Linked DNA regions of Danio rerio. The protein of the gene in region 2 interacts with the protein of the main gene of each other region in a biochemical or structural test. Links are inferred from orthologs where the notes say so. Each region holds a gene or a part of one and is shown on either strand. Other genes may lie near its edges. The genes, in order: topbp1 and atrip.

Region 1 (3,833 bases), on a different chromosome or scaffold from region 2:
ACTGTTTTATCATTAATTAAACAACAAAAGGACAAAATCCCTCACTGCTTTTGACTTAAGACTTTTGTAGCTAAAGTTTTTTTTCTTACAGTGAAGATGTTTAAAGCACAGTTTAAAGAACAGATTTAAAAACTCATTTCTAATAACTGATTTTTCTAGATAGCCTAATTTTCAAGATACTAGTATTCAGCTTAAAGAGTAATTAGCCAAGTCATTGTATATCAGTAGTTTATTCTGCAGACAGTAATATATATATATATATATATATATATATATATATATATATATATATATATATATATATATATATATATATATAGCTTAAAGGGGCTAATAATGTTGAGCTATTAGAATAGGTTTCAAAATATTTAAACCTGCTTTAATTCTAGCTGAAATAAAACAAATAAGCCTTTTTCCAGAAGAAAAAATATTATAGGAAATACTGTGAAAAATTCCTGTTAAACATCATTTGGGAAATATTTCTATATAAAAAAATTCACAGAAGGGCGTATAATTTTGACTTCAACTGATAACGGTTGAATTGATCCGTAAAATTGTGATTACAATTATGACCAAAATAATCGTGATTATGATTTTCCCATAATCGAGCAGCCCTAGAGGAGAGATATATTAAATAAAAATAAGAACTGTCCAACTTGCTCTAATTGTATGTCTAGGTGAAGTGAAAAATCTCATATCATCTTGTATTCTAATAACGATAAAGTACCTTTTCCAATAATTAAATTAATTAACAGCTTATATATTGACCACAAGGAAAAGACAATTTCTTTTTTTTTGTTTTAAATTTTTAAGAATACCATTTAAAAATGTGCTCATTCATGAGTGACACTTCTGGACTAATGTTTTATTAAGAATGTAGAAATAGAAAAGAAATGTTAAGAAAATAAATAGTTTTTTTTCCCAAAACTAATGGTTACAGGCCCAGCATAAAATATTGCTCAATAAGATTCTAAATACAAACATGTACTTTCAAGTTTACCACCTATTCGCTATTCTGTTATTTATGATTATGCCAGCAGATTGGTCAGCCAAATGCTGAAAAAGTTTTGCTATAAACAATGCATTTTGCAACACTACAAAATAAGACTATGATGTAAAGAGTTACCTGTCCTGAGACTTTTCCCAGCATGCTTTCACCCAGCTGGGTAACAGGATGGGCTTCCCAAGGCTTGCTGCCACCAGATATTTTTTACTCCCAACTTCACCTGCCACCAGGTGAGTAACAGACACGTTGAGATCCCGGTAGACTCGTCCACCCATCAGCTGAATAAGATCCATCACTTCACTCTGCAAGAACAAAATAAAAGCTGATTATTTGTCATAACTGCACATGCAGATGTAACAGCATTCCAGTTCTACTGTATATGTTACAGGGCTTCTGACAATTTAAAGTTAGCCTGAGTTATTCTAAACCTAGTTTAAACAGAATCCTAGGTAAAATCCCAGGTTAAAAGTACTTTAAAAGTACTTAAATGATTCTTAGATTTTACACAGTGCAATCCTAAACCCTGTGTTAGTCATTATTTACATATTTGTGGTATTAGTGTAAAACTTTAGCAAAAAGTGGCAAACAACCTGGGGTGCATTTCCTAAACAACGACGTAACTTGCAGCTGAACTATCAAGGTACGATGCATCGTTTGGGAAAAGAACGATGTAGTGACGATTGTTTGCCGAGGTATAACGTAAACCGGCCATAATGACTCTCTAAACTGTGTTGAGTAACAACTTCTTTAGAGAAGAGCCCCATCATTTCTTTGTGCAAATTACACTGTTTAAATAAACATGCATTAAAAATAAAATCCATTAATAGATTTGTAAAGACATGCACTCGCTTTTCATATTAATTGAAATATATGGCACATATAGGGCCTATGTTTGCCTTACAAATATTATTGAGAATATATCATATTCTAAACCATAAAATCACTTACAAAAGCTAACACCTATTCTAATATCATAAATAAATCATATAAATAAATAAATAATGAGGCGATTTATCAAGAAATTAAATTTAATAATTATTATGAATTAGAAATAAAATAAAATTATACTTTAAAAATAAAAGTAATAATTTTGATGATGATTATTATTATTATCATTATTATTATTAAGTAGGATATTGTTTATTTATTTTTTTAAGTCTACTTTTACAATTTTACACTTGTAAACCACTGCAGAAAGTTCTAACCAGCAGGCCCATGTCATTTACAGTACATATACCTAATAAATAACCTACTATAAATTAAAAGAATTAACGTATGCTTTTTGAGTTCAAAATGACATCAATGTTTTCAAAGTCCACTGCGAAGGGAGCACAATTGTCAACATGAAGATCGCTAAAACTGAACTGTAAAAATTGTTTGAAAGCAAATTTCACCTAAAAGAGATGACTTTAATGCTATTTTTCATTTGTTTTTGCGAATGTTCGTTGGAGCGACAGATTTGAGAAACGGCAAATCAGCAAACTATGTTTGTAACGACGGACCTTGCGACCTTAGTTGGCTAACGATGGTTTTGGGAAACACACCCCTGCATGGTTTCCGCTACATTCATTCTTCTATGGCAGGGCGCAACACCAAAATTCATCCCACCACGGCTACATTAACATTACAGCTACGTTCAAAACAATCAGTCGTGGTTGTTGTTTTTTTTTAATAGCGGGTTATAATCCCACCAAAACGTATTATAAGGTAAGTGAATTATAACAGCACAAATTTTTCTCTAATCTTAGTTCTGCTGTGGGTTATTTGTTTAACCCTTTAAAATGACATGCTGACTGACTGACAGGGCTGCGCGATGTGTGAGGCCAGCAAACACGGCGTAGCTTTCAGTTAAGATGAACACAGTTTCCGTAATTATACCTTATAGATAAAGGTCTATGGTTCTGCATACAATGACTTTATCTTGCTGGAGTTTATAGCCGTTTCACTTTACTTCAAGACCCATTAATGCTGCTCTGTAAGTTTATTGGAGACATTCATAAATATTCCTGCAAATCTAATAAATGTTGGAGATGTATTCCTTACATAAACGCACTAAATCGCACTTCAGCATCGTTTATTTGAGGAAGCGTGCAAGTTTTTTTGCACAAACAGAGAAAATCGGTGCGCAAGTAAAGAGATTTGCATGCTCCTATTGCATAAATATGATCTCGACTTGTAATACTGCGCCCACGACATTTGTTATTGAAATAACGCCATAGGCAGTTGGTAGATCTGTGTAAAAGGTCTGCCGCCACAGCTGGACAAAAATCCTAGAGAAAACACTGATTTATTTAGATAAAGGTTCTAGGTTTGGGAATTGCTGCATCTGGTTTTATATACTGCTGAATGGCTGTCAAATGTGATACTAAACAGACTTTACAGACTATAAAGAAGAATGAAAAAGAACATCTTTTTATTTAGATTCATTCTTTGCGTTATTATTTAACATTTTTCAGTTTATATTTATATACAAGCATAATGTTTCTATTACCATCCAAAAGACATTTAGCTGTATGAGTTTAACCCCACAGTTTAACACCGTATATGTTGAGAAATTCATATTTAACACAGTAACATTTTATAACACCAGGCAATATCACTATTTAAAAGCACGAAGCCTTCCTTTACCCAAGTTATATAATGTAAAGTGTCTATAGCCCAGGTTTAAGTGCAGTGTGAAAGCCCTAATGTAAGCAAAGATGGACAACGTAATTGTATATCAATACTGCAGATCATAGCTTTCTCCTTACCCGTGCCTCTTTGTCAAGGTTAGTGCAGGAAACAGTGACATCAGCCATGGACATGTTATACACGGGCTGCTCTGCTT
Region 2 (4,394 bases):
AGAAGTAACATTGAGCACTTTTTTGTTTCCTTTTTTATAACCGTGCGTGAAATTTATTATACGCAAATATGCACGTTAATATTCATAATCAATATTGTTGTGTCTCAGGGAATTTTCACCGACACGAGACCCTAACATGAAATGCAGACAAAATATATGCATATTATGGCCACAAGTGGACTCATTCATTCCCACAATTTACTAATATATCTGCACGTTTTACTCATTTGTTTCAAGTGATCTCTACTAAACTGTGGGCATGTTGTAATAATTACTTTAAAAAACCTAAATAAAACAACAACAAAAACACTCGACATGCAACATGCTCGTACAACATGCACGAATTGTGCGAGATAAAAAAGTATGTTTTCATAGATACATTAGCAAAGATGCTAAATATCTGTAGACACACTACTGAACAAAGCTGCAGATAGTATTGTTTACCTTAGCACACTGTAGCCTATAAATATTTTTTATGTCTATATAAATTAAGGTAAGGCAGCTATATTTAGCACACTTATTACAGTTTGTAACATGCTAACTTAGCTCATATTTGTTAACTGCAAAGGTTTTGTCGTATAAAAAAGATCTGCTTGTTGTGATCACATAAAAATGTACACAATCATTTGTTCTCGTCAATAAATCGTAATAGTTGAAATAATAATAGTTCCAACTTAAAACAGCAGCAACAAAAACACTCCGTAGTTACATGCACACATTGTGTGAGATAAAAAAGTATGTTGTTCATAGCGAAGATGCTAAATCTGACACAATAGCTGTAGACAAATCTTTAAAGCAGCAAACAGATTTCACCTTTTATTAGTTTATTTCTGTAGCCTAACAATGTTATGAAGTCTAACTATATCATTTTTACATCTTTTGTTAAAAATAAAGCCTTTCGCAGCTATTTAGCGCAATTATTACAATTGGTTATAACCTGCATGCTAACTTAGCTCATAATAACTGCAAAAGTTTTGTCGTATATGGTGTAATCACATAAAAATGTACCTGCTGATTTTTAGTGATGATTTTGCTTAAAATGTATCAAAAATATCACTAAACACTATTTATTTTGTGTGTGCACCTTGTAAATATATTTTTAATCTTACTCATACTACTCTGCGTCAGTGTTTTGTTGTGAACTCATATTTTTCCATTTAAACTAAAATAATACAATCTTGAAGCCTTGCGATATGTTTACTACAGGTACGAGTATGTATAAGCTAAATGGTGAAGAAAACGTTTAACAAGCCCAAACTTTTATAAACACATCTTGTTGAACATGTTTAGACAACTTCCAAATCACGGCTTTGTGCAAGTTTTCTGAATCAAAATGAATGGTTCAAAACGCATTTTGTCGCAAGAGTGTCTCCGTAATACGTGCGCTACTCCTTTGACGAATCAGAGCTCACCGCTACACACTATGGCAGTGGTTTAGCCAATCAGGTGATGTTTTACTACCGCGTACGCTTTCGTCTGGCCGCATGGACACTCCTCCTCGCTTGAATGAATACCGAACCTTCAGAAATGCCTCCAACTTTTCCTCTTTTCGGTTATTTGTTTGTTTGGTCAACTACTTTTATGTAAACATTTCAGAATTGCACTTTATCTGGAGTGTTTACTTTTGGTTTGTCATGTCGGTGATTTGACGGGCAGTTGCAGGTTATGCAGGAATCTGAGGAGCGTAAATCAAGCAGGTGACTGATAAACTTGAGCACTTTACTACACCTTTACCATGTTAAAATTGGAGTCTGGAAGAGCATTGTGTGTTAGTTTGTTAGTCCGGTAGTAATGTACACTTTATAGGCTGAAAAATAACTGGATTTTTGACCAGTAAGTGAGTGTTATCGTATTAAAATTGTCACATGCTAACTGCTTGATATTAATGAACTGGCACGAACCGTACTGTATGTCAGGGTTTTGCAGTCTTTTATATGTCACGGACATCCAAACCCAAAATGTAAACTACATATTTGTAGTTGCAAAATACATTTATACTGCGAAAACTAGTGTTAGATAATGTGTCTAATGTTTTTTTCTAAATTATTTATTTTCTGCTATAATTTTTTGCAGATTATTAATGAATTCGTTGTCCTGGAACTGTTTTAATTGTTACATTTACAGTTTAAATCAAAAAGCTTGTCTATTTAATTGAAATAATTAGATGGATAGGTTTTTAATAAATATAGAAATGTGTGTTTAAACATTTATTTATATTGTAATACATATAGACATGTTACCCTGGATGTTATGAGGCTAGAATAAAAGCAGTTTTTAATTTTTTAAAAACATTTAAGATCAAAATTATTAGCCCCCTTAAGGTATATATTTTTTCGATAGTTTACAGAACAAACCATCATTATACAATAACTTGCCTAATTACCCTAACCTGCCTGATTAACCTAGTTAAGCCTTTAAATGTCACTTTAAGCTGTATAGAAGTGTCTTGAAAAATATCTAGTAAAATATTATGTGCTGTCATCATGGCAAAGATAAAATGAATCAGCTGTTAGAAATCAGTTATTAAAACTATTATGTTAAGAAATGTGTTAAAGAAAAATCTTCCATTAAACAAAAATAAACAGAGGGGCTAATAATTCAGGGGGTTTAATAATTCTGACTTCAACTGTACATTTATAGTGGTGGTCATGTATAAACAAACATTGTACAGCTTATGCAGTACTATTTATTATAAAACAGGTGAATTTACTAAAGTTTTAATCACTTTAAGACATATTTATCCAAATTTTTCCAAATTTAATGACATTCCATTAGTGACGATCTGTCCCTCATTTGCAAAGACAGTCCTGAGTCATAAGCAGTCACCTGCCAATAGATGTAATATAGACGTGGTGTTTTAGGATGCACAAATGAAAACCGTAGATGACCATAGGCATTTGCAGCTCTGCCCACAATTGAAAAGAAGGCTATCTCACTTGAATTTAAAGCAACAGTCAACAAAATATCACAATTTGGATCGAAGTCTAAAAAGGGCAGTTTAAAAGAATTATTAGTGGGGTATTTTGAGCTGAAATTTAACACGCTCTAGGTCAGGGGTGCCCAAACCCGGTCCTGGAGGGCCGGTGACCTGCATAGTTTAGCTCACACTTCCTTCAACACACCTGCTTGGAAGTTTCCAGTATACGTATAAAGAGCTTGATTAGCTGGTTTAAGTGTGTCTAATTGGGGATAGAACTAAACTCTGCAGGACACTGGACCAGAGTTTAGGCATTCCTGCTCTAGGGGTGTCAGAGACCTATCATCTTGTGAAAAGGGGCATAAACATTTTCTTTACTACACTAATTATTTGCTGAACATTAACAAGGTTTTATTGATTTCCCAGCAGGAGCTCGTTGACATGGACTTTCCCCCGAGCAAGAGACTGAAGGGCCCTCAGGTGAAGACTGGACCCGACCCGTTTGACGATGACATTGATTTCACCCAGGATGATCTGGAGCAGATTGATATTATTGCGTCTCAGGCCATCAGCGCAGACGTCCAGAACAGCGGCTCTAAGAGATCTTTCGACGCTGTGCTCGCTTGCGCTGATGAACCGAGCAAAGCTCCAGTGAGGTCCGGGCGGAAAACATTCGCCCTTGGAGATGCCTGCAGCAGCAGCACTTACAACAACACACACGCTCAAAGGAAAGAGCCTTCTGGTCAGTACTGGATGTTTCTGTTGCACTGTACACAAGTTTTTATATGTCCCATTGGGTTTTTGCAGTTGTTGTTGTTAATTTAAAAAACAAAATTAGAGACAGTTTAAAGAAGCAATTTAACATATTTGTTTGTTGTTTTGTGTCTTGTTAGTGGGCTATTATATATATATATATATATATATATATATATATATATATATATATATATATATATATATATATATATATATATATATATATATATACACACACAGAATTTACATTTCAGCCAGCCAGCCAGCCTCAGCACTTCCAGTGAATTGTCTTTCCGTTATAAAATTGCCATGTTTAAGGTCTGGGTCAGACTGGACAAGAAGCTCAGCATTAAATTACATTTCCTCTCGCCATGTCTTTAAAATATAACAGTTTATTCAACCCCAGAAGTTTCAATGGAGTTTCTGCACTCACCTGCTGACCCTGACAGCGCTAGAGGTTACACAGTCTTTCATCTTGTTTTACACTTAAACAACTCATGCCGAGTTCAGACTGCAAGATTTTAGCCTCGATTTTGACTCGCTGGCAGGTTTTGAGAAATCGCAGACAAATGCCTGAAATCACAGGCAAATCGATGTTCGTTCACGTGAGTAACAATCACAGTGTGAACTATCAGAGACACAGTCTGAGAGAATCGCAGATGAGTCATTGACACCCATGAGATATTTGTCATGGAGCTGTCGGCAATTCAAAATTATGCCA

What was found.
Region 1: the proteins of atrip (region 2) and topbp1 form a complex in vitro, tested with the Homo sapiens proteins (2 studies listed by BioGRID). The link is inferred for Danio rerio from reciprocal best matches to the Homo sapiens genes ATRIP and TOPBP1.

The regions. Positions count from the first base shown.
Region 1 is NC_133199.1:10,053,628-10,057,460, reverse strand, and holds part of topbp1 (DNA topoisomerase 2-binding protein 1), read right to left. Parts: coding exon 3,757-3,833; intron 1,309-3,756; coding exon 1,127-1,308; intron 1-1,126. UniProt on the Homo sapiens protein: Scaffold protein that acts as a key protein-protein adapter in DNA replication and DNA repair. Composed of multiple BRCT domains, which specifically recognize and bind phosphorylated proteins, bringing proteins together into functional combinations.
Region 2 is NC_133197.1:10,190,723-10,195,116, forward strand, and holds the start of atrip (ATR-interacting protein), read left to right. Parts: upstream 1-1,500; 5' UTR 1,501-1,697; intron 1,698-3,343; exon of another isoform or gene 3,344-3,346; 5' UTR 3,347-3,358; coding exon 3,359-3,659; intron 3,660-4,064; coding exon of another isoform or gene 4,065-4,130; intron 4,131-4,394. UniProt on the Homo sapiens protein: Required for checkpoint signaling after DNA damage. Required for ATR expression, possibly by stabilizing the protein.